Solanum lycopersicum: one gene and its partners. The protein of the gene in region 1 interacts with the protein of each later gene in a pairwise test. Links are inferred from orthologs where the notes say so. Each region holds a gene or a part of one and is shown in the gene's direction. Other genes may lie near its edges.

Region 1 (2,214 bases):
TGAAAGCTTCTTTGCCTAATCTTATCCTAGGCCAATGTTTAGTCCCTTTCATTCATTCATGAATTCTTATTGAGTTTCCCCTTTCTTTATTCCCTCAAGAGTCATGTCTACTAAAATATTTCACTTGTTTAGTACTGAGCCTTCAATTATCTTACTTACTACATGTGCCATTCTTATTACTTAGTTGATGTGTTTTGAATGCCATCTGAAATGATGACCTATTTTATTGAAAGTATCCGTGTTATGTAGCTTTCTAGGTGGCCCGATAAGCTGTCAAATTGTCCACTTGCTATCTGTATTATTCCTATCCTTATTGAAAATATCAGTGTTATGTGTATCTTATTGAAACACCCTTTGATGGTCCTGACAATAAATATCCCTGGGTTCTTTTGAAGTCGGGATATGTTCAACAAATGGCAAGCTCAAAGATGGTGGGGTGAGAATTATGACCGAATTATGGAGCTCTACAATGTTCAGAGATTCAACAAACAAGCTCTTAACACACCTGGAAGGTCTGAGGACGGAGTAAGTCAGTTAGATTTGATTTGTCTAAGCATAACAATTTTCTTTCTCCTTTGATTTACATTAACTCAGTTATCTGCTAAATTTACCGAAATACTTTGTATTTAGCTAACCGGTTTCCCCTTCATGAGCTTGTTACCCTGATCAAGTAATTAGCCAGCTCTACTCATCAAGTCATCTTCTATTTTTTACCAGCAAGAAGTTATACTTCTGTGCCCTAAAAATCAATAACAGCACTAAATTTACTTGATTCAAACGACTCTAAACTCATCAAGTTCGATAAAGGATCAATTATAATAGCTTAAAGATCTAAAGGAAATAATAGATTGGAGATTGATATACCTGAGATTCTTTTCTTCAGAGAGATTCCAATTATTCGAGGCTTGGATCCGCGATAGAAAGCCCTATGATGACCCCTGCAACAAATAAGGACTGGCCACCAAGCAATTACCATAAACCATCTGGATCAACTGGTTTACCAAAGGGGGATATGTCATATATGGATGCGTCAAGGACAACTACAGACTCTAGGGATGAAGCTTCACTTTCTGTAAGTAATGCCAGTGAAATGGAGTCAGAATGGATAGAACAAGATGAGCCTGGTGTGTATATAACCATCAGACAACTAGTTGATGGCACTAGAGAGCTACGACGTGTAAGATTCAGGTATTTCAAAATCTCAACTGTGTAAATGAACTCAAGACATGATTGAAAAGGCTGAGCACCTATTTTGCTGAAATTTGTATTCATTTTGGACATTTTCTTACAACTTTCTCTACATTCATACAGTCGGGAGAAGTTCGGGGAGGTGCACGCAAAGCTGTGGTGGGAACAGAACAGAGAGAGAATACAATCTCAATACCTTTAAATCAACAAATTTCTATCCACAGAACAAAAGAATTATTCCATGGAAAAGGGAAAATTTTTGCCTCTTGGATGTGATGAAGCTGAAACAGAGATCATTACAAGATACTTATATTAAAAGTATTTATATTAGTTCAGATAGAATGGCTCCATTCTACCGAACAAAATCACTTTTGGCCATTTAGCAATTTTCATGGCATTTCTTGATCTCTAGTTATACATGATCTTGCAAATTCTCTCATGAATTCCTTTAAAGGTTTCAAGTTGTTTTCCTTGTAACATAATCTTTCTAAAAATTTAGTTGAACCAAATGCTAGATGATGCAAAACATACTGCTTTTCAGCATTACTATTGTCAATATCTATAGCTCACTGGCATTTATCGACTCTCAATTGATAATAATGTGGTTGTCCATTGTCTATCTTTTATGCAATGAATTCCAAACCGGAGAAAGACTAAAGGACAGAATGGAAGTTCAAGGCCCATGTCTCAAGGCTTATCCTTGCCCAGTATTAAGTAGAAAGCCCCGCCTTTTCAAGTATCCCAACCTTTTAGTTAAGGGATTTATTAAGTTTAAATTGCTAATGAAAGGATCATTGAGGTTTAAGCTTAGCATATTAGAGAGAATTCTTTATGTTTGGTAAGAGCCAAGCAGTAGTAGATCTACTTCATTAGTGAAGGGGCACTTGGTATACTTATCAAACGTTTATGCAATAGGGGCAAAGACCCATCTTAGAGTTGAAATTCCATGTTTTATTGATGAAAAGACATGATGCAGCTGCAACTTCAGCAAGCAAGCTTGGCCTGTCATAATAACATAATCTTTTC
Region 2 (4,216 bases), on another chromosome or scaffold:
TATCTCAAAGAAACCCTTCTTGATTCTCACATTTCTTCAAGGTAAACTTCCAATTCAGGGTTTACTTTTTTTTTCCTGAAAATTTCTTCAAATTCTCAGAAAGTACAGTTATTGACAAATTGGGTGCTTTTATAGTGAGGCAAGCTTGGTGGGGTTTTTTCCTTTCATGGGTGTGACTTGGTCATTGTAAAAATCAATACACAGGAAAAAAATACATGATAACAAAAACACAAAACAGAATTTTTCAGCTCCATTTCTCAGAAATCATATGTATGACAAACCACACGCCAAAAGTGAGTAAATGAAGCAAATCAAAAAACATTATCGGCATAAATCGAGAATTTTTTCAGTTGATTTCGATTTTTCAACATATTATCGGCATCATTCGAGAGAAAAGGAAGAAAGCTAATAAAAAAATAATCGAAAAAACTTACTTCAAGGTTTATCTTCACTTCAAATTGGAAGAAGAGGAAGAAGTTCAGCAGCTGCCAAGCGTGAAAAGGGAAAAATAGAAGAAAAGGGAAAAATGGAAGAAAGATATGTTAGGGTTATGTGGGTAATTTGGAGATTGTATAAAAATAATAAGGACAAAAAGGTAAAAATATGGTTAACTTAAAACAGCTTATAAACTAAAAAAAACCCTACCCCAACTTTTAACTTTTGGCTTAAAATAAGTTTTTTTTTAAAACTTAAAATAAGTTATTTTGAGTATTGCCAAACAACTAAATAAGTCAAAAACCAGCTTTTAAGTCAGTTTGACCAACTTTTAAGCTGAGCCAAACATACTCTAAATAATGGTATAAACGAGGAACATTTCTAATAAAAATTATGGCACGAATCACAGTGGATACTATTTTAACCTTACCCCGACTAGTATATACATAGACAAAAATGATATACAATGTTATGTATTTTTAATAATAACGTATTATACACGTTATGAAAAGAACTAAATGATTTTATGTTACAATAGCAAAACTTGATTATATAAAGAGAAGACATATAATGTCATTTATGTTAATGAAATACTTGATACACATAATTACTATAGAAACCATCCCATATCAATTACAATAATGTATTAGAATGATGAATTACATACAAATGTACATCTGCGGCATGGTACAAAAAACAAATTATGTGCTACAAAACATATTACTACTAACAAAGAAATTGACAATACAATTAATATTGATACATATTGATTAGGACAGAAATTATATTTAACACAACCAAGTAGTCTTACAACTTATAATGCATTCATAATTGGGTTCACGCGAGTTGTTTCCCTAATATGGTATAATATTATAGAATGTTATATTTAATTATTTTATTATATAATAATAATAATAATAATAATAATAATATGGATTAAATGTATTTTTATTTATACCTCCCGAAGAGAAAAGGGAAGAAAAAGAGAAGTGAAGGCAAACAAAGAGTTCCATACGGAGAAGAGAAGAGAAGAGAAGAGGAGACGAGAGGAGAGGAGAGGAGAGGAGAGGAAAAGCCAAACTGATTCATAGCTGTTGTGGCGATTTGTTGAGCTTTCTGAAATTGATTTCACTTTTCCTTAAAATCTGCCCTTCTCTGTCTCTTCTCAAATTGCATTTTTATGACCCTATTTATGTCCAGATTGATCGGTTTTTGAGGTGAATTGTGAAGTTCTAAAACCCCTTCAGGTGCACTTAGTTTTTGTTGCTTAAATTCATTTGGTTTTCTCGGTTTCTTTTCATTTTTTAAGACTATAACTTCCATGCTTATGTATTTGTACTTTTTTGCTCTTATTATTACAAGTTGGAAAACATGGGTGTTTGCTATTATTTTTTTATCAGAAGAAGAGTTAGCTCTATGTTGCTTGTACGTGTTTTTTTTTTTAAACAAAAATCTTACCTTTTGACTAATTCTAGTTCAATCAGTAAAATATTTTGATTTCTGTAACCTGTTGTTCAGATAAAATGTTGGTTTGCAAAGCTTTAAATTGATGTGAAGAATTTAAAGTTGACCAGAAAGATGCTCACTTGTTGATCAAATTTTTTGTTACTGTTCAATATTTTTAACAGGTAGTTTTAATTGACTGAAGTTGAGCTAATCAGACAAAATGGGAGTTCCAGCATTTTATAGGTGGTTGGCTGATCGATACCCACTCTCAATTGTGGACATGGTAGAGGAAGAGCCTAAAGATGATGTTCCGGTGGATATTTCAAAGCCAAACCCTAATGGCATGGAATTTGATAACTTGTACTTGGACATGAATGGCATCATTCATCCTTGTTTTCATCCTGAAGGAAAGGTGAACAAGTATTTCTTTTTGAAAGTTCTCCTATGAATTTATTTGGTATTTGATATACCAAATTCATCACGCTTATGCACAATGCATGTTTCAGTTGTTTGACATGTAATTTGTTAGTACTTATATAGCTTTTCTATGTTAAAAGGATGTTATTCTTTTGTGACTGTAATTTGTTTAACTTACTTTTAATGAAGGATAATGAGTATATATGTTAGTCATAGTATCTACATTAGAAGCTTTGAGTAAGCTATAAAATAATGTTATTTGGACAGCTGTCCATGTCATTACAAGAACACTCCCCTTTGTGCTGTACTTGTCAAAACTAATTAAGATCATTCAATTGAGTAAATTTTGGACCAGTAAACTGTCATCCAGATTCAATCTTCTTTTCTCCTGCCTAAGTATGTAGGGTTTGGGATAGGAGAAATAACAGAAGGACCTGCTTGTTTCCTCTTTCCTCTTGGAGGACTTTTGTTTCTATTGGAAGGTTATTGGAAAATGTCACTCAAATTCAAAGGACCATACTGGATCACTTTAAGTACACTTTCATTCTTTAAGGTTGGATTTTTCTAGCTGAAAGTCAAAATCCTAATGTTAGGTTTTGTTTGGGGGGGGGGGGAGGGGGCTGGGGAAGATAAAAAGGGGGTAATCAGGAGATATCAGCGATGGGAGCTGAATTATGTTCTGGTGGAGGCATCCACCAAAACTGACAGGATCATAGGTGAATGTATTCAAATAATTATGGCAAAATAGATGATTGGGGGAATTCATGTTATTTTTATAGGTAGAAGTGGGGGTATTGTAGTAATGTGGGATAAGATGGTGTGGAAAGGAGGTGATAGAAACAAACCAATGGTAGCCTGCAAGTTTGAAGGCATTAATCAGGTTTCTTTTAGTTGTGTATGCCTCTTGTGATCCAATAATTAGAAGAGAACTTTGGAAAGGGTCAATCAACATCAAAGAAGAGAGTATTGGGCCTTGGATAGCTTGTGGGGATGTCAATGCCAAAAGATACCCATATGAAAAGACCAGAAGGGCACGTAATGACTCAATGATTGAATTCTCCAAGTGGAACAATGAGATGGAGTTCATTGGCCCTTCTTTATTTGGGGGGTCCTTTACACAGTGAAGAGGGGACAATCCCATGTCAACCTCCGAAATTGGTAGGTTCATGTTCTCTTCCCCATGGGATGATACCTTCACACAGATTATACAAAGCCTACTTCCCACAGTAGGTTTAGACTACAATCCAATTATAGTTGAATTTGGAGATTTAAATTTAAAGCAATCTTACTTCAAGTTTGAACAATGGTGGTTTAGGGTGGAAGGTTTCTTAGGGTGGAAGGTTTCTTAGATAGTTAAAGAATGGTGGGCATCTTTCAATAGCACTGGTCCTAGCTTCCAAGATGAGAAAGCTCAAGGGAAGCTAAAGGAATGGAAACTGGAGTATAAAAATAATTGGAACCAAAGGAAGAAGGAAATTGTTAGAGCTTGTTTGGATTAAGCTTATTTTAAGTGCTTTTATGCCAAAATAACTTTTAAGCATGTTTGGAGTGTTTTAGGTGTATTGAAAAAGTGCTTATAAGCACTTGGTTTTATGCTAAAATGATAAAAATAAGCCAAAACCCATAAGTTAGAATTTCTAACTTGTGACTTCTGGCTTACAAGTCAAAAATCAAAAGTTAATCCAAACAAACTCTATATCAATTATCAGATTTTGAAAAGCCTTATGAGTTGAGATTAGAGGATGAGTTACTCCAAAGACTACATCTTTCCAAAGAGTTTGAAGACGTCTTGAAAAATGAGGAAATAATTTAGAGATAGAGGTCCAGAGTGTACGACTGAAACATGGAGATCCAAAAAAATTACATCTTCCCATAGAGTTTGAAGATGTCTCAAAAAATTACGAAATGATTTAGAGGT
Region 3 (3,076 bases), on another chromosome or scaffold:
GAGGAGATAGGACATCCCGATAAATTTTTGAACTTTCGGATACATCAGCAGACATCTGAATATATACATGGTGAGAAAAGTATCGGAGAAGATTGATGTATTGACAGGGAATTTTTTTTTAAATGGTAGAAATTTTAAAGATTATAGTAAAACAAAATGTGTATTTAGGTAAATTTTTCATATGCACACGCACTTTATTAAATCACTAATAACCAAATTATAAATTATATGAATTTAATGTAATTAGTCAATACGATACGAGTAAGTATTAATCGATATATTGCTTATGACATAAAATATTACAACACATTAAAAAAAATGTCAATAATCCCTACCTAAATAAAGTGACATTTTGTGGTTAGATTCTTCATTCCCAAAAGATTGACTTAATTTAACCAAAAATATGACAGCCCTAAATCCCAAATATAATTAATACAAATGTGGAAATGGTCAGTATAATATCTATTTTAATAAATAAATCTCTTTTAATTAAAATTGCAAATTCATGCGTGAAGCTAAGGTTGACACTAATACTTTGAACAAAAATATATATATCTTTTTAATAAAACCAAACACATAATTGATGTCCAAACATGTTATAAAAATAACAATTAAATATGTACAAGTTTGTGTCTCTACCAACATGGTCGTTATGGTGATGAAATGATTGAGATCTCTCTGTTCTTAATCCTTACGTTTGAATTTGGGATAGAAAATTTCGTTAGAAGCACCACCTCCATATATAATTAATGAACACTGCAAAACGTATATTCAGATTTAGTCAGACTCCAATACAAATATCAAATATCAAATTAAAAAAAAAAAGTTAATGTCCTTACATATGATTATAAAATTTCTCTTTCACCTTTCACAATAATTTTGTCTTAATGTAAGACTATGGTAGTATTTGAGGGAGGTCTTAAGTGGTACTTCATATGATTTGAATCTCAAAGTTGACTTACATTTATATCACTATTTCTTTCTGACTTATTATTTTTTTCATTACCAAAACGTCACAAAAAGAAAAAAAAAATTACATTATTTTCTTCCCCTTGTTATATGATCAAAAATTTTGAAGAAAAAAAAGTGTGTGTGTGTGTTTTTTCTAAGAGAAAATTTAGGGTTTCTTGAAAATGATTCAAGGTACAAGTAGTAGTGCTAATAATCCACAAAACATACCATTATATTCATCAAATCATCATCCTAATAATAATATTCAAGAAGATATATTTTCTTCTTCTTCTTCTTCTTATCAACAAAATTCATTTTTATTCAACTTATCTCTTCTCAAAGAGAAGGTTCATCAAGTTCAATCACTTGCCACCATGTTCATTACTCCGGATAATCAAACGATTATTCACCCTCCTCCTGAGTCAATATCTATGATCATCGCGAATATGGGAACTTTGATCCAAGAAATCATCACAACTTCTTCTTCCCTCATGTTTTCTTGCCAAAAGATTGTCCTCGACTCTACCTCACTCAGTCAAAATTCAAGTAGATATCGCGAACCATCTCAAAATGATGTTGGTCATGGTCAAGGTCAAGGTCAAGTTGATCATTTGCTACAAGATTATGATTGGTATGTGGATAATTACAATTCTAATTGTAACACACATGAAGATAACAAAAACCATGTTACTAGTAGTAGTACTATTATAGCTAGTAGTACTATTAGTCATGATAATTACTATAGTAAAGAATTTGGAAAAAAGGAATTATTATTGAGTACTTCAAAAGGTAAAGTTGTGAATGAAGAAAATAATTATGATATTGTTGAGTTAGATGCATCTGATTTATTGGCAAAGTATACACACTATTGTCAAATTTGTGGTAAAGGGTTTAAAAGAGATGCAAATTTGAGAATGCATATGAGGGCTCATGGAGATGAATATAAATCTAGTGCTGCATTGAGTAATCCTATGAAGAGAATCAACGATTTAACGAGTGATGGATCGTTGAAATCAAGTAGTAACACGATTAAATATTCGTGTCCTCAAGAAGGTTGTAGGTGGAACAAGAAGCACGCGAAGTTTCAACCATTGAAATCAATGGTGTGTGTGAAGAATCATTACAAGAGAAGCCATTGTCCTAAAATGTATGTGTGTAAGAGATGCAACAAGAAGAGTTTCTCTGTTTTGTCTGATCTTAGAACTCATGAGAAACATTGTGGTGATTTGAAATGGCAATGTTCATGTGGTACTACTTTTTCAAGAAAAGATAAGCTTATGGGGCATGTATCTTTATTTGTTGGACACACTCCACTTATAAAACAAAGTGCAAGATAGCTAGTGCAACAACAACAACGATAAGTCGATAACATATATCAGAGTAGTTCTACGAGTACTTATGCTTGACGAGGGTAGAGCATACACATGTCATATACTATCTTTAACCCCTGGGGTAAAGAGATTGTTTACGAAAGATCCTCAGCTCATATGAGCTAACTAGCTAGTAGATTTTATAATTTACTTAATTGATTTGTAATTGTAATGCACCTATTTTTTGTTGCAAAATGTTGATGTGCTTGTAATTTGATGAATCAATGTGAAAATTAATTATCCTAGCTTGAAAAATATATCATGCCCTTGTGAAATATGAGAAATATAGTATAATAACTTTGTATATTAAACTTATATTGCAACCCTACCTAGTTGCGTATTCTAATGAACAGTGAAGATAAAACTTTGAATCTAAAATCTCTATATGCTTTGGTGCCATGTTGAATTTAACTTGGTAAATGTTTCAATATTTATTCACTTATTAGTTGTTCTGTTATGTACCTTTTTAATTTTAATTTCTTTTGTATTGAAGTGCTTTGATGAAGTTGAAAAATGTGTGTAGCTTGAAAGACATATTCTACCTTGTGAAATATGATTAATAACAGTAACGTATAGCTTTATAATATTATATATGTATTTTCGATATGATAAAAGATATTTGTGAGACTTGAATTCAGATTAAAATATTACCACATATGAACACTTTATAACTAAAACCATAATAAGGCTATAGAAATGACACATCGTAAATTTTGCTAAATAGATATAAAAGATAAATTTTGCTACATATCTTA
Region 4 (4,136 bases), on another chromosome or scaffold:
TGAAGATACTTGTTTTAGTAGTTATTTTTTATGCTGATATTACAAGGCAAGAATGTGCAATTTTTCAAAAGAGAAGTAAAGCATAAAGGAAAAAATCCCACTAATAGTTAAAAGTCTACCCAATTAAAAACTATCATTCTAATAAAGTTGGAATTTATCCAATCTTGAAAATATATAAATGGCATTTAGGACGAGGGTAAAAAGTACTATTTTATTTTTGAATTTTAAATTTTATAATCAAGTGATAAACGATTAAAGCTCAATTATCCTGAGATATTAGTCTGATTACAGTTAATATATGTATAAAAAATATGCATCGTAAGATTATACAATTTTTTTAAAAATAATTCAAACTTCAATTTCAATTATATTAGCGATAGAAATTAAATCATAATCTAAAAGGATTTCCTTCGAATATAATTCAAATAAGGGGAAAAGGTGATGAATATGGATTATTAAAAGTTTAAAAGTATATAACAAAGCCAATAAATGTTACTTAGTAGCTTGTTTACACACGTTATTCGTAGCTTGGAAATATGCACAACTAAGTAGCTTCCTTTGAATTGCTTTGACCTTCAAGCAACACAAGTCAAACACGTCATTACTGAGAGATGATTTGATACGAGAATTAAATTATTTTAGACCAATTTATTTCATTGAGATCGGTATTAATTCATTTTGAAATTATTATAGTTATTTAGTTGTATAAATTTATTTCGCTATTTTTTATCTTATTTCGCGTACAAAACAACCTCTAACTCCTAATATTACATCCTCCGTTCATGTTTGACTTGATAAAATGTTGATAATGAATTAAAATACGTAAAAATAAAAGTAAAATATGCATAAAATATAAATTATTTTTTAAACTGAATAATTAAAAATAAATAAATATTTTTAACTTAATAATTGACATATAAATACGGATGATTCAATTTGAAGAAACAGTTGCTCTGATATTCATCAGAATTTTGTCACCTTTTTTTATTTTTATTTTAAAATTAAATGACATATGTTATTATAGTATTAAAAGATTAAGATTGAGTATGATTTCTTTTTTAAAATAGCCTTTACTAAAACTTAAGTTTCATAACAAATATGTCATATAATGTCAAAACTTGGAGCAATATGCAAAAATGTGATAAACAACTATTCTTGGGACAGTTTTTTTTGTACGTATATATATATTTTCAAGTCTCTTTATTCATCTTATCTTATCATATTATTGATTGATTGATAAACAATAATTGAAGTGATTCTATTTTTTCCATTGGCACATATGGTTTCAATTGGGTAACGTACCTGGAATTTATTGTATATTTCAAATTAGAATTTTGAATTTTTAAAATCGCAACCTATTTAATGAAAACATGCTTTTTCACTTGTATGAAATTCAGAGGCTCTGTCACACTCAAAATATTTGCAGAAAACAAAAAAATCAGCAGTAATAATAAATTCAATTTAATAATTAAAAAATAATTACTATTTTATAAATATCATATATTATCAATAATTAAAAGTAAGTATTAACAAAAATAGCAGTAAAATATTAATATTATAAGTTATAATAGTCAATGATTAAAAACTAGTGTATATTATTACTGTGCATTTAATAAAATAAATAAGACAAATAAATTGAAACGAAATAATATTTTGTTTTTTGTTTTCGTAGTTTACCGAAGAAAAGAAGCAGCGTATATGATTACAATATAAGCGTTTACAAAAACAAGAAAAGGTGAAGATGAAGGAGAAAACAGAGTAAAATATAGAAAGAGAAAGAGAGAGAAAATCTTATGTATCAATTTCTTGACTAAGCTCTATTCTATTTCATTTGTTTGTTGTGAGTTTTGTTTGATTGATTCATTTACTCTGTTTGTATCCAAATATAATAATTAGTCACTCACTCTTTTTATTGTTACGATCGGATCTGAAAAAGGGAGAGGACCCAGAAAGAAAAAGGTGCAAAGCTGTTACCCTTTTTAAGTGGAAAGGGTCTCAATAATCATGGCACATCATTCATTTTTCTCCATTTGATAATCAGGTGATTTCAACAACCTATTACTCTCTCTGTCCACTTTTTTTTTTTTTGATTTATTTGTGGATATACATCTTTTCATTGATCCTTTTGGTGGAATTCTATGATCATTTAATTCTGTGATTTTACTGCAATTCTATGTAAAGTTTTGTAATCAATGCTACATTATGAGATGACCGAATCAATTTATGGTAAAATTATTCAAAATTTAGTTGAAAATTGTGAAATTTGAAAAAAAAAGTATTTAATTTTGTTTTCAAAATGGAAATTGGAGTTATATATGACCATGATATTGGTATTTTTCAAAAGTTGAATTTCGGATTTAAAGCCAAAAATGATCTCCAGAATTCAACTCCGGGAAAGAGTAAAAAGTATTCATGGTCAAACTGTTAAGTAGCTAATTTTTCTTCACTTTTAATTGTGTAATGACAGTGTTTATACCAAAAAATTACAATGGAGTCTCTTGTTGATGGAATCAGTTCCTTGCCGAACGTTCACAATTCATTCGCTGCGGTTGAGTGCAATACATCTTTGGCCTCCAAGATAAGTCATCCTCCTTTGATGAAACAATCCGAAAACAAAGAGGCATCTATCTCATATCCAATAGCGATGGACCTTGGTTCCACCGTAGCTCATACTCAAACTGGATCAGTGACTGGTTCAAAGCATTTTAAAGCAAATGAAGATACTGTAAATCAATCAGCAGAAGGTTGTTCAGGAGAACAGGTTTTGGCTTTGGAAACTGAATCATCTATCAAGGATTTACATCATGTTTCGAAAAATGGTACTTCAAACGATGATTTGAATGCGACTGCCAAAGACTCAGGAATCACCTACTGTCCTAGTCCTCAAAACAGTTTTTATTCTGCTACACAGTACACAGAAGCCAAACAAAGTTTTTCCAACACAGAAGTCAGTGAATGCGCTAGCAGCACTGTGGACAAGTCTGGTGAAAGTGGTGATGTTAGCAACTCTTGTGATCTTGTTGAGAGCAGAAAAACAAGCTTCTACAGAGGCAGCACAGGTAGTGACGTTAGTGATGAAAGCAGCTCTAGTAGTTTCAATAGCACAGTATATAAACCACATAAGGCAAATGATACAAGGTGGGATGCAATACAAGTTATTAGAGCCCGTGAGGGAACATTGGGTTTTAACCACTTTAGACTGTTGAAGAGATTGGGATGTGGTGATATAGGAAGTGTTTTTCTAGCAGAGTTGATTGGCACAAGATGTTTCTTTGCCATGAAAGTGATGGACAAGGCAGCTCTAGAAAGTCGCAAGAAACTCGTGAGAGCTCAAACGGAAAGAGAGATACTGCAGTCTCTGGATCATCCCTTTCTACCAACACTGTATTCGCACTTTGAAACAGATAAATTTTCGTGCTTGGTGATGGAATTCTGCCCTGGTGGAGATTTGCATGCACTTAGGCAAAAGCAGCCAGGAAAATTCTTCCCGGAGCATGCTGCCAGGTTAGTGTTTGTCCGCATATCATATTCACCTCTTTGCTTTGTGTTCAAAATATCCAACTATCGCTGCGATCTTAATGAATAAAGAACTTTTAACATTGCTTCCTGTATAAACCAATCTGTTACCATCATCGTTATGCTTTAAGTGTCTTAAAAGTTCATAATAGTGGAAATGACTTTAATCTATTATGCAAGGAAGATCCTGTGCATATATGCCTTCTTCTAACTGTCTCACCTCTTTAGGCATTGCGCTCAAACAATGATGAGTGAGATCCACTGCTCTGTGCTTATAGCTGTTGACTTTTTTTCCCCAGCTGTTTATTAGATCCGTATCTGTATGTTTGCCTTGATATCTCTTCAATTAAACATGTTGCTTATTTCCTAGCCTTTTGTAATTTTTCTCAACATTGAGTTCAGACCTTTCTTGTTGTGTGCAGTCCCAGTAGCAAATATTGTTTTCCAGTTGCATGCTCGTATTCATCACTGTCATTTGGAAACTGACTGGTATAATGTTCTAAAATTTTGTTAGCTGGGGCCAAGGGAATTGAATATAACCGAGTAGTTTGTTTCGTAGGAACCAAAGATAAGTCCATTCAGATAGACTTGAGACGTTACATCTACCGTAATCAATGATA
Region 5 (4,188 bases), on another chromosome or scaffold:
ATTAATTTTTAATTGTCATTAATAATTTTCTTTATTATAATAAATTTATCGTAGAACTAAATAACTTAGAAAAACTGTGAATATATATTCCTTAATGATGATTGAGTGAAACATTTCTATTGGAAAATATTATACATCTATTGTCTTGATATTAAAAATTGAACATGAGTATTTTTACTCATTAAGAGGTATGCCCAGAAATCAGAATTGGATATTGCACCATACATGGCACAAACACGATATTTTTGGATTATGCTAATTTTACATTTACGTGTATCCACTAATTTTCCCTTTTAGATTTTATATACGTATTAAAACAATTCATCAATTAAACATCTATAGAAAATTAATTTGTGGACTCAATTATTGTATTATTATTTTCTTGGTTTTAATTTACCTCATGTACTTTCTTTTCTAGTAGGTCACAAAAGATAGTATCCATTTTATATTTAGTATCAATTTAATTTAAATATTTATTTTAATTCAAATGAAATAATTTAAATCTATTTGGTATCTAAGATAACATTTTCCACAAACCATTTTCTTATTTTCATATGTTTGGTTAGACAAATTTTTTTAAAAACATTTTCTTTTAGAAATCAAATTGCTTAAAAATTATGAAAATGACTTCCTTAATGATAATAGAAAAAATAAGTTCTATGAATAATATTCTACGTTTATTATATGTTCCCCATCCTCCCAATTCCCCAACTCCCTACCCCTTGACCATTCCACCCCATTCACGATAATGACTTCCTTAATGAAAGTAAATTACATCTAAATATTTTTTATGATATTTTTTTACTTACAAAACACTAAATCATTTTCTTATGTAAATTATTTCCAAGTACCAAACACATTACACAATGACACAATTATTCTGACTTTATTTTAAATAATAATTTTCAAAATTCTTTTTTTTTCTAAAAAAACTTTTTAAACTTTAACCCAAAAAATCAACCCTTCTGGAAGAAAATTGTCCGTGACAATATTTTTTTCCACATATATATATATACTCCCTCTGTTCTCATTTAGTTGTCCACTTTAGAAGTGATGGACATATTAAGGCATCAATTATTATCATAGGTTAGTTATAATTTTATCGTTAATTTAAAAAATTATGTAACGTATTTTCTGGTTCCAAAAAGTATGCATTACAACTTAATAGTAATAAAAATAGTAATAGAAATTTTCTAAAATTAAATAAGGACATATTAGGTAAAAAATTCTTGTTCTTTCTTGATCTGTTAAAATAGACAAGTAAATAGAAATCAAATATAAAATGAAATATAAATAGGGACGGAGGGAATATATAATATTTGATCTTACATTCCTTATAGCGTTTACCAGTTGACCAAATATATAAATATATATATATATATATATATATATATATATATATATTTCCATTTCCAATATATGTTGGTGAAAGAAAAAAAAAACATCATTCTACTTGAAAATGAAACCCCACACGGAGTACGAATACATGCAATTCACAAAATACATCCGATCCCTCAATAATTAATTCACCATCAACAACAACAACAAGTAATTGTTCAAAAGAAGAAAAAGTAGTTTGGAATATTAGAAGAAGAAAAAAAAAGTGAGAGGAATTAATGGAAAGGGGCAGTGAAGAAAGAAATCAGTTAAACAATTATAATTTACAAATATCCTCAGCCGCAGCAGCAACAAATAATATTCATCATGAATTGGGATTTATACACTTTGCAGATCATAACAACTTAACCTTCTTACCTCCTTCGTCACAATCTTCTCACTCTCTTCAAGCTGCCGCCGCCGCCAGCGTAAGTGTTACGCCATCTGCCGCCGTCAATACAAACGCTGCTGCTGCTGCTGGTGCTGGTGGTCTAGGGTTTAGTCACAGTCAATTACTTGTGAATAGACCTTCTTGGAACAACAACGAACAGGTAAATTCGAATGATTCGTATATCTGTGCTGGTGAAAGATAACGTAGCAAAAGCGTTAGGGTTTCTCGATTTTCTTTCGTAATAATTTCTTCGTTTTTTTTTTTAAATTTTACGTGTAGGTGGAAACACTAGATCCCAAGGGTATTAATGACGAAAATTGCAGCGGTAATGCCAGTGAGGGTAACAATTCATGGTATTATTTTATTTCTCTATAACGTTTTTACTAATTTATTTTCAAAAAAATGTTACATCGATTCTCGCGCTATGAATTGCGGCTTGTTATGTTTTATTTCTTCTAACATTTTGATTTATTTTGGTTTTCACAAAAGGGGAAACGTTTTGATTAAATATCTTAATTTCTTCTTCTTCTTCAATTTCTTTTTAAAAATTATTAATCTCTCTATTTTATGTTTAATTTATTCCATTATATAATCTAAGAAATAATTAGATCGAAGCGTAACATATAGTGGAACAATAGAATTTTTATCACACTTAATTAGAGTTTAGACTCTTTGGGAATGATTTTCTCTTCCTAATATAGAGCACTTTTATAGTGCGATTTAATTAAACGAGGGTAAATTGAAGTTAGTCAGATTATGAATTTTTCATTACGAATATCAAAATTAATCGGACTAATGAGTTTCCGACAAAGACTTTGAAGGAAAAAAAAGTCTTCAACTTTTATTTTCAACTCCACTATTTAGTAGTACTACCTATCTAGAAGCTTCTCAATGATTTACATTAAAACCTGAAAAGAGATCTACCAAGGCATTCATGCAGATAGATTTTTGCTATCATGTTTTCTTGAAATGTCTCTCTTGCTCTTTAATAATGACACTATTTCAAAGTGTGTGTATGTATATAAATACTATGGTTTGTACTATATAATATGTGGTGTGGAGCTAGGGTGTTGTGCATTTTTGAGAAGGACAAGTGCTAACTAGATCCACTATACATATTATAATGCTCAACTATAAATATATTTGTACCCACATCATGATAAAATTCAACTCACATATGATAAGACTTGTTTAATTTATTTTGCTAGCACAAGTATATATAAATTTATATTGTTGTCATATAAGTTCATCAATTTATCATTTTACTAGCAAGCAACATTATTTCATTTCTAAATTATGTAAGGTGGAAGAGTTCATCTTCAGACAAAGGAAAAGTGAAGATAAGAAGAAAGCTAAGAGAACCAAGATTTTGTTTCCAAACAAGGAGTGACATTGATGTTCTTGATGATGGATATAAATGGAGAAAATATGGTCAGAAAGTTGTCAAGAATAGCCTTCATCCCAGGTACCTAATCATAATCAAGTACTCAGAGTCTGTACATCTGTCTTAATTTATATGACAACTTTAGATTTCGAAAGTTAAAATATGAAAATCTTTTACCACAATTTATTCTTCTTTTTCTAAAGTCAATTTTGACAACCGTGAATTATTTATATGCCATTGAGATATTTTAAATGGATACTTATTATATAGTTTCATAATATATAAATTTACTTTTCAAAAACATTATAATTGTATGTCTAAAATGTACAATCAAAATAAAAAAAAGTTCATCGATCCAAATTTAAACTGTATCGTAAAAATTAAGACAAAAAGAATCTGAATTTATTTTTTGGTTAAAAACAAAAATATTATAAATACTTGCTATGCATCATTAAAAGAATGTGTGATACTGTTAGCAATGAGTACTATTTTATCTTCCTCTGTGATTAGAAACGTTAAATAGGCCAGTTGGATTAGGTTTAAGAACGCTAATCAAATTTAGTTAATAAATAGATAGGTCATTTATCCACATAAATATTGTTTGAGCTAAAATAATCTAAAAGTTGAGTCATAACCCAACTTATGGCTCGATTCTTATTATTTTAAATTCAAAGTTAGTTTTCTTATGACTAGTGAGCACCTATTAAGTTTTCCTCCTAATATTATGACTATATAAATAAATCAAATAAAAAATTATTTTTTTAAAAAAATATTTAGATAAGATTTGTTATAGGTCAATTTAAATGACAAGCTAGCCTAATTTTAAAATGAATTTACTAAGTGAGTGAAAACAAATCCAATGAATAGAAAAAGAAACTATTAACATGTTTAAACATAAATAAATTGAATGAATTATAATTTTATGAATTATAAATCCAAATCGTGTTTCCCAAAAGTCCATATCAATTGAATTTAATAATTTTGTTTATACAATATACTTATATTAAGATCTCAATGAATATATATACATATTAAA
Region 6 (4,190 bases), on another chromosome or scaffold:
ACCTTTTAGTACTAAAGATTAAAGAGCAAATAATACAAATTTCACTAGTTTAGGATTGTATTATATGCCTTCACTTTAATTTTTGAAATTACCTTTCATACTATATTTATTTCGAAAGATACAGATACCTCAAATACATGTGAGTCAAAATAGGTATAATTATGCACTGCATTTAAACATGATTCACATGTATCTAGGCTATAATGTCTCCTCACTCGCCTCTCTTTTTGTGTATCTGTATTTCAAAATGTATTTGGTATCAAATATACATGTTAACTCTCTCGCTCAAGTCTCTTCTCTCTTGTTTGTCTCCCTCATATATATTTGTATTATATATATATATATATATATATTATATATATATATATATATATATATATATATATGATTATTTTATACATATTTGTGTGTGATTTAATGATACATGTTTCTTTTGGTACATATATATCTGACTTGAAATCTAAAGGAGTGGTCTATCTGTCTTGAAACTAAATATGGAATTATTAATTTCTAGACAATATGTAATTATTTCAAATTATAGAGTGAATAAGTTTTTATAGTAGGATTTTTTTTTTAATTAGATAGTTTTTCTAAGATTAAAGTATATACTAATAAGGGCAACTTTCACATATAGCAAACAAAAAATTCATATTTGTATGCTATAGCAAACTTTGCATAATTGCGCTACATAGCAAACATAAAACTGTTTAATTTGCTATACATATACAATTGTATAATTCGCTGGCCTAAATTGCATAATTCGCTGGCCTAAATTGTATAATTCGCTGTCCTATTTCGCTGCAATTGTATAATTTATTTTGCATACGGTTGAATCGAATTAAAATGTATGTATATTGCATAATTATAAGTGTATAGCAAGAAGATATATGTTTTTCTCGCTTTATACAAAAACACAAACACAATATATACACTTCTGTTGTATAAAGCTAGAGAAAATTGTATTTCACTGCAATTGTATAATTCGTTGGCCTTTTTCTCTGCAATATTTGAAGTAAAATGTTTGTAAATTATATATTAAGTGTATAACACGAAGATATACATTTTTGCATGTGTATATACTATTTTCTCTCGCTTTATACAAAACAGAAACAAAATTATACACTTCTGTGTATAAAGCGAGAGAGGCGAGCGAGAATGGAGAGTGGCGAGCGAGATTTTTGGAAGAGAGATGCTGACAAATTTTAGCTAATGTTTGCTATGGAGCACAATTAAATCAAACCATAGCTATTCCATTTAATTTAGGTTATTAGTTTGATTTAAATTCAAATAAACACATTGGGCTCATGAGTCAATGATGTAAGGAAGGCCCAGCCCATTTATTTATTTTTTCGCATCATCCATATGACCAATTTAGTAACCGAATTAGACCGACTCGCTTGATCTGCTTCTTCCTCCTCATTTCGCTGGTTCTTCCTAAGGTATGAGATTTTTCTTGTCTGTTTCAATGGAATATCCTATAACTGGTGAATTTTTTTTGTGTATGTATATATATATCCATCATTCTCAGAGCATTGCAAGGTGGTAGACTAGAAGAAACCTTATTGTAATTGTATGACGAGTGCTTCAGAGCTATTTTTCACTAGGAGGTCTCGTTACGGTCGAAGCGATCTCGAATTAGGGTCGGATTTATCGACAATTCGAAATTCTCACAACCACAGCGTTCGTAATCGCCGCCATCATCATCACAGTCACCAGCCAACCGGCAATAATACCCGCCGTGATCGCGTCGATGTGAACGATTGTGAGCCCTTGCGCCGATCTCCTCCTCACCGCCTTAGACGTTGGCCTCCTGTAAGATTTTGGATTTTTTTTTTTGGTGTGTAGACTGTAGAATGATAATATTAAAAAATTAGGTGCTGCTTTATCTGTTGTGTTGTGCTGGCATATTATATTCAAGCTTTTGAGTCACATTGATCAACATGCATATATTAAATACTAGAATTGTTAATTAGCTGAATCCAATTGTCATTTCACTGGATTCTTTCCTTTTTTATTTTCCGATTGTCATTTTATAGCTATAATTTCTTGCCTGGGTTAGTTAAAGCAAGGAAAGGATGAAAACATGAAATATGATACAGGGGTAGTGAATGTAGATAGTAATATAAATTGGTTCACAGCATTCTTGTATAATACTACAATATTTTTTCAAACGGGAGACTTACGAATCTTTTAGATTGTGCCACAATCAGATATGGACGTTTAATTGACATAGTACCTGCCTTATCACACTCAACACCTATGATGATTATATGGATGATGGACTTGTGGGTTGCAGGATAACATTATCTGGATTTGTTGTTCTTGATTATTAGTCTTGCATTACGTTAATCCAACATTTTCTTGCTGTAAATGTTAGAGTCTTATTTGGCTGGCATATATATCTGCACCTGTTCCCGTATTAGTATGGACTATGTACAATGCCATTAAAATACTAACTTTCCTCTACTGATCATGATAAGAAGTTTGTTCTGTTTCCTGGTTAATTATTGCCTGTTCTTTTGCTATTTATCAGTAAACCAATCAACTACATTAAATACAAACTAGTTAGAGTTGGGCAGTTCTATGCATCTGCTTTGAGTCCGTCGCTTAGTAGTACTCAGTAGTCTGGCTTGTAAGAAAGTTAAGGGTTCTATTTTCATTCTTATCGTTACACTACATACAAATCTCTAGTCATGCTAAAACAAATCCTGGCAAACATGGGATATGCCGTAAATGTATCGATAATGATAAAGCTTTTGTGCAATTTCATAGTTACTTCTTCTAATTTTTTGAACCTACCAAAAATAATACTCAACAATTAGGCTGAAATCTCAAATATGTCTTATATGGATCTTTTTTCATCATTAGTTATCACAAAAGAGATTTGCTCCATTCCCAATTAATTCCTGCCATTGGTGGCAATATTTTGAGGTCATTATTGCCATGTGGTGTGCCATTTTGAGATTAAGTCCCCTGTTGCATGAGTCGAGCAAATGTGTTGTGACAGCTTACTTTTGCCAGCCCCGGTGTGGTTTAGCTGTATGAATTTCCGAGACAATGGTTGTTTCCTAGCCCAAGTGTTGGCCATTGTATTCTGGATTACCCTGATTATAAGGTGCTTAAAGTATGACTCCTGTATATTTAATATAGTGCTGCATGTACTTCTCTATGTATGTGATACATCTTTACGTCCCCCCTCAAACAATTTATTAATCAGCTTTGATGTTCACTTATAAGATGGTACAAGCATGTACTTGGTGCTCTTGTAATCGATTGATAGATTACTTTTATTTAGCTCATTCATTTTTGTTGTTACATTTCATTGCTTCGTGTTTAGTGTCATATATTGCTGATTTGATGGTCAAAAATGTCGTAGGATGTGAGTTATAAATTCTTAACACCTAGTTTTTCTGGTCGATTTCAATTCTTTGATGGTGACCTGAAACATTGATGCTAATTATTTTGGTCCTTTTTCACAAGTTAGGATCGTGATTCTGTTTCGCTCGACTCTGCGAATAGCCAGGCTGCATCAGGAGACACCAATCATGCAACAAACAACAATAACAGGATACGAGATAGGGTGGGAACCTCAGGTAGCGAGCGGCTCCCTGGTACTGTACTACTTGCAAGGGAAAGACTTCTACAGAGATTGAGAGGTGTATCTATATCTGGAAATAGGTTGGTATTTTGAATCCATTATACCCAATAGTATGAGCTTCTCTTGGCAGGCCATTGTAGTTTATGATATTGCATGTCCACAATTCCTTCGATTAAATAAATACGGAGATGGGTAAGAGTACATTTCTAAGTGGGTAAATTTCTGATGAAGCATACATGAAATTGCTTGGTCTTGATGAACTTTGAGCTGTCTGATTAAAATGAACATATGTTTAGATGAAAATTACTGGATATGTTAGTTTCCTGTAGTGAATGGACTTTCATCATAGGATTATTAAGATATGTTGCTCCTATACATTGTTGAGTGGTTTGTAAGAAGTTTAGTTGATTTTGCTGACCCTTCCTCCTCTATGGTCCTCCTCATTGTAGAAGTTAAACGACATGTTTTAGGATGTCAATTTCCCAGCAGTCTTACAAGTCTTATGTTTTCTATTATGGTTTTCTTGTTAGCATGATATCTCACTAGTCTTCGTAAGTTGCTCTGGTGGTTATTACAATATGATTAAAATTCT
Region 7 (4,052 bases), on another chromosome or scaffold:
CTATCAAGTTTTTTTTTAATCTTATTTGGCCTAAATAATTTATATCGTCTCTTTATTCAGAATAAATAAAATTTTAAAGATGTTAAATTTGTTGGGGTGATTGGTACTTATGTGATGTTATTAAAATTAAAATTTAAATATTATTTTTGATTTTAATATTTGGAGGAAATTGATATTTTAAAATTTAATGACTTTTTAATGAGAAAATTTTTAAAGTTTATTGATATTAATAATAGAAACCGAATTTAAAATTTGTAAACAATAACAATTAAGATTGACTTGATTTTGTGTTATATTCACAATAATTGTCTTGTTGGAGTGAGTATTCACAATTTATATAATTTTTTATGATTTCAATGTTACAAGCAACAAACTTTTTTTTTATAAATGTGACACAAATATTATTTTAGATAATAGAATTTCATATTATATCGAATCGACATGATTTTAAATTATAAAGCATGATAAATTTATATAACTTCATATTATACCAACCTAATTATCTTGTTTAGCATACACTCACCATATGAAATTATCGTATATTTCAACTTTTTACACACATTTTTTTTAAATACTATTTTATTTAATTTTTGTAGGTTTTTTATATTTTGCTCATAATGTTTCTGTTTTATTTTTTAACTTCATCTCATGCATTGAGTTATACGAGATTTATCTTCTTATACAATATTGCTTGAAGTTTTATCTTTTAGAAAAAAAGACTATAACTATTAAATGTGTCTTCTCATACAATACTGCTTGAAGTTTTATCTTTATTAAAAAAGACTATATAACTATTAAATGTGTTAGAATTATTGATTTTAACAATATACTTTCTAGATTGGATTGATGCATGACTACTGTTTCAATGTCATTTTAAAAATATAGTAACTAAAGTTATATTTTAAATTAACAATATACCGGACAATTAATTTGCATCATTTTATAAATAGATTTTTTTAGGCTTTAAACATATTTTCTTATACTAAAATTTAAATATATTCACAATAAATCATTAGATAATATCGACATAATCAATGATCTCCTAATAATTTTGTACATTGTGATAGAACAATCAAAACATATGCAATATATCTAAAATTTTATACATTCAAATATTTGATTTTTGATCCAATTTTAAAATTGTCAAATTTCTAACAATTTTTTAAATTATACGTATACAAACACAATTTTATTTTACTATAATATTTTTTTTTTCAAATGAGCAGTATTAATATACCAATAATGCACACGAGGGTAGCATGGGAAACAATAAACATAGTATATAATAGCCCCTCTCTCTCTCAATTCTCCCGCTTGCAAACCTAAAAATTTGCTTCCATTGCTCGCTCTCTACTAAAACCCTAGTTTGTTTCTCCTATCTTCTGCGTAATCAGCAATGGAATTTTGGGGTAAATTATCTGTATTTCAATCTATTTGGTTTTTCTCTGTTTATCATTTGATTGTTTTGATAATCTGTATTGCTCGATGACTGTTTGTTAAATGTTTTGTTTCGTGGTGTTACATGCTGTATTTATTGCTTATTTATTTCGCTGTTTCAATTTTCATTGTTTATTATGATTTCGATGTTTATGTGATTCTGATCAAACACGTCTGCAGTATATTATGACTGAATGCCTGAATTTGTACACATGTATGCAAATTTCACAGCTCGTCAATTTGAGATCAAACTTAAGTTATGTTTCATTTTGTTTTTGTTATTTACTGTTTTGTGATAGCTGTAGTTATTGGAAACAACGTCTCTACCTTCTTAGTTGTTGGTTACTTCTTAGTTGTTGGTTAAGGTCTGCGTACACTCTAGTTATGTTATTGTTATGATAGATGTATTTATCGAAGCAGCCTCTCTTTGTGCACAAGGTAGTGATAATGCTGCTCACCATCCTTCCCGTACCCTACTTGTGTGATTACACTTGGTACATTGTTGTTGTTGTTGTACTGTTTTGTGACAGAATCCCAGACAATGTATTTTTCAGCATTGCCATGGTAGAGACTAGAGAGTGAGAGGGAAATAACTAGAAAATGTTTGTGTTGAAGTGCAATGCTGCCTATATACGATTACACTCTGCTTTGGATATGGTTCTTTAGTGTTGACAGTTAAAAAATGGCTCTGTAGTGTTTCCAACTGGCCATAGATTCTCTCATCACTCTTTGTGTTCATTTTCTGTTCCTCTGTATAGGAGAGTAGAGTAGGGTATTTGATTTAGCTCTTTCAGAATCAGGGATTTACTTGGAACCGCGGAAATGATTTTTCAAGTGTTTGATGTGATAAAGGCTCAATTTCTAATTTTAATATTTGGAGTTACCTTCATATGCTTTACTTTGATGACCACATGTCTTTTGGATATTATTATAGCTCAAGAACCCATGCGTCAGAAGTTCTGTTGGGTCTCATATACAATTTGAATGTACTTTTGTGCCTAAACTATTTTGTAATAATTGTCTTGTAAAAAATATCGTTTCTGTTATGTGTGCTCGGCTGTTGATTTTTCATCCATTGTGTATTAGTGTGTTTGATGCCCACTTTATATTGGAATAATATTTGGCAGTTGTTTTAAATTTTCTTACATTTAGGTGCGGAGGTGAAAAGTGGACAACCTTTATCTGTACAGCCGGGAGATGACATGGTTTTGCATCTTTCACAGGTGTGTTAAGTTGTCACTTGAATTTGATAGGCAAATATTTGCAATAGCCAAATACCTTGTTGGCATCTCTTTTTAGTATTTTTATCAATGTATTCTTTTTTTTAGGCATCTCTTGGTGAGGTGAAAAAGGATAAAGCATCAGAACCTGTATGCTTGTCTGTAACTATTGATGGCAAGAAGCTTGTTCTTGGCACACTCAGCTTAGATAAGCTGCCTCAACAACAATTTGACCTGGTTTTTGATAGAGACTTTGAACTATCACACAACTGGAAAAATGGTAGCGTCTACTTTTTTGGATACAAGGCTGCCAACCCATTCGAGGAATATCCTTTTCTGTTGTTTGTTATCTTCTATCTTTTGTTCACATGAACTTTCCTATCTTTCTAGTTTCTACTGCTCCCTTCCTTTCCATTTAAAAGAGGTGAACTTTTCAAGTTCTTTTTGTTTCCTTGACTACAATTGTGTGTGATACTGAGGAGGATGTAGATGAAGTTGAAGATGGTAAGCACAAAATTTTCTGTTTGAGCATATTTAAGCTGTGATGAATTAGGCGAAGATTTAATTGATATTTTATTGTGTGCAGAGTCTGATGAGGAAATACCCCTTTCAATTGCAAACAATGGTACATAAAATTTTATTATATACTTGTGTCTTTGATCTGCTATTTCTTAGTTCTAAAGTATTGCCTACCTGTTTAACAGGAAAGACTGAAGCCAAGGCTAGTGCAAAGGATTCTGCTTCAACTAAGCAGAAGGTGAGGGTTATAGAGTTTACTAAAGTTGACAAGGCGGAAGATCAAGATGAGAGCACTGATGAGTCTGCGGATGAAGATGATTCTATGATGGGGGAGGTATGCTTATCATCTAATTTATGCTCAATGCTTTATAGTATTGTTATAACATATGTTTATCAATAAAAGGTTTTTTAAATGTCTGGGTAAGCAACAAAAATCAATTTGAGTTTGTTACTTCATAAAAAAAAACCAGTTTGAGCTTGTTCAACAATTTCCAACCAAATTGTTTAAATATGTTTTTCAACCTGTGGTACTTGAGTGTTCATCAAGATATGAACTCTTAAAGATTTTTCGGAAGGATATGATTTGCATTTGGTATTCAGAACACAGTGTAGGTCTGGTTTTAAAAGAATTGATCTTGGAAAACAAATTTTTGATGAGAATTTTCTTTTGATAAGGGTGATGCAACACAATTGTTTGTTAAGGATATCACTGAACTCTTAAGTATTTTAGGGGCTTTTGTCCCGGTAAAAATTAATGGATGAAATTGATTTTTAATATCTTTGCTTACTACTAAACATACTTTTGAGTAGCCAATAACAGATACTATTTGGTTCTAGAAATATAGGCCGAAATGGAATTGTCAAATTGAGTTACCA

What was found.
Region 2: the proteins of protein BREVIS RADIX (region 1) and XRN4 interact in binary tests that used the Arabidopsis thaliana proteins (3 or more experiments, as listed by UniProt). The link is inferred for Solanum lycopersicum from reciprocal best matches to the Arabidopsis thaliana genes BRX and XRN4.
Region 3: the proteins of protein BREVIS RADIX (region 1) and protein SENSITIVE TO PROTON RHIZOTOXICITY 2 interact in binary tests that used the Arabidopsis thaliana proteins (3 or more experiments, as listed by UniProt). The link is inferred for Solanum lycopersicum from reciprocal best matches to the Arabidopsis thaliana genes BRX and AT5G22890.
Region 4: the proteins of protein BREVIS RADIX (region 1) and serine/threonine-protein kinase D6PK interact in binary tests that used the Arabidopsis thaliana proteins (3 or more experiments, as listed by UniProt). The link is inferred for Solanum lycopersicum from reciprocal best matches to the Arabidopsis thaliana genes BRX and ATPK7.
Region 5: the proteins of protein BREVIS RADIX (region 1) and probable WRKY transcription factor 12 interact in binary tests that used the Arabidopsis thaliana proteins (3 or more experiments, as listed by UniProt). The link is inferred for Solanum lycopersicum from reciprocal best matches to the Arabidopsis thaliana genes BRX and WRKY12.
Region 6: the proteins of protein BREVIS RADIX (region 1) and RING-H2 finger protein interact in binary tests that used the Arabidopsis thaliana proteins (3 or more experiments, as listed by UniProt). The link is inferred for Solanum lycopersicum from reciprocal best matches to the Arabidopsis thaliana genes BRX and AT1G49850.
Region 7: the proteins of protein BREVIS RADIX (region 1) and histone deacetylase HDT1 interact in binary tests that used the Arabidopsis thaliana proteins (3 or more experiments, as listed by UniProt). The link is inferred for Solanum lycopersicum from reciprocal best matches to the Arabidopsis thaliana genes BRX and HD2C.

What each region holds. Positions count from the first base shown.
Region 1 is NC_090807.1:62,143,750-62,145,963, reverse strand, and holds the end of protein BREVIS RADIX, read left to right. Parts: intron 1-395; coding exon 396-525; intron 526-883; coding exon 884-1,188; intron 1,189-1,311; coding exon 1,312-1,390; 3' UTR 1,391-1,714; downstream 1,715-2,214. UniProt on the Arabidopsis thaliana protein: Acts as a regulator of cell proliferation and elongation in the root and shoot. Regulates roots architecture and primary root protophloem differentiation.
Region 2 is NC_090803.1:40,188,037-40,192,252, reverse strand, and holds the start of XRN4 (protein ETHYLENE-INSENSITIVE5), read left to right. Parts: upstream 1-1,416; 5' UTR 1,417-1,682; intron 1,683-2,063; 5' UTR 2,064-2,101; coding exon 2,102-2,293; intron 2,294-4,216.
Region 3 is NC_090810.1:57,597,878-57,600,953, forward strand, and holds protein SENSITIVE TO PROTON RHIZOTOXICITY 2, read left to right. Parts: upstream 1-1,133; coding exon 1,134-2,288; 3' UTR 2,289-2,576; downstream 2,577-3,076. UniProt on the Arabidopsis thaliana protein: Probable transcription factor. Together with STOP1, plays a critical role in tolerance to major stress factors in acid soils such as proton H(+) and aluminum ion Al(3+). Required for the expression of genes in response to acidic stress (e.g.
Region 4 is NC_090801.1:70,586,936-70,591,071, forward strand, and holds the start of serine/threonine-protein kinase D6PK, read left to right. Parts: upstream 1-1,336; 5' UTR 1,337-2,041; intron 2,042-2,467; 5' UTR 2,468-2,488; coding exon 2,489-3,504; intron 3,505-4,136. UniProt on the Arabidopsis thaliana protein: Protein kinase that regulates the auxin transport activity of PIN auxin efflux facilitators by direct phosphorylation. D6PK-mediated PIN phosphorylation promotes auxin transport in the hypocotyl and this is a prerequisite for PHOT1-dependent hypocotyl bending.
Region 5 is NC_090800.1:79,427,830-79,432,017, reverse strand, and holds the start of probable WRKY transcription factor 12, read left to right. Parts: upstream 1-1,388; 5' UTR 1,389-1,616; coding exon 1,617-1,928; intron 1,929-2,047; coding exon 2,048-2,121; intron 2,122-3,071; coding exon 3,072-3,233; intron 3,234-4,188. UniProt on the Arabidopsis thaliana protein: Transcription factor. Interacts specifically with the W box (5'-(T)TGAC[CT]-3'), a frequently occurring elicitor-responsive cis-acting element.
Region 6 is NC_090800.1:90,933,205-90,937,394, forward strand, and holds the start of RING-H2 finger protein, read left to right. Parts: upstream 1-1,390; 5' UTR 1,391-1,439; exon of another isoform or gene 1,440-1,528; 5' UTR 1,529-1,572; coding exon 1,573-1,812; intron 1,813-3,484; coding exon 3,485-3,678; intron 3,679-4,190. UniProt on the Arabidopsis thaliana protein: Probable E3 ubiquitin-protein ligase that may possess E3 ubiquitin ligase activity in vitro.
Region 7 is NC_090809.1:63,872,713-63,876,764, reverse strand, and holds the start of histone deacetylase HDT1, read left to right. Parts: upstream 1-1,252; 5' UTR 1,253-1,396; coding exon 1,397-1,409; intron 1,410-2,589; coding exon 2,590-2,660; intron 2,661-2,765; coding exon 2,766-2,983; intron 2,984-3,132; coding exon 3,133-3,161; intron 3,162-3,243; coding exon 3,244-3,282; intron 3,283-3,361; coding exon 3,362-3,510; intron 3,511-4,052. UniProt on the Arabidopsis thaliana protein: Probably mediates the deacetylation of lysine residues on the N-terminal part of the core histones (H2A, H2B, H3 and H4).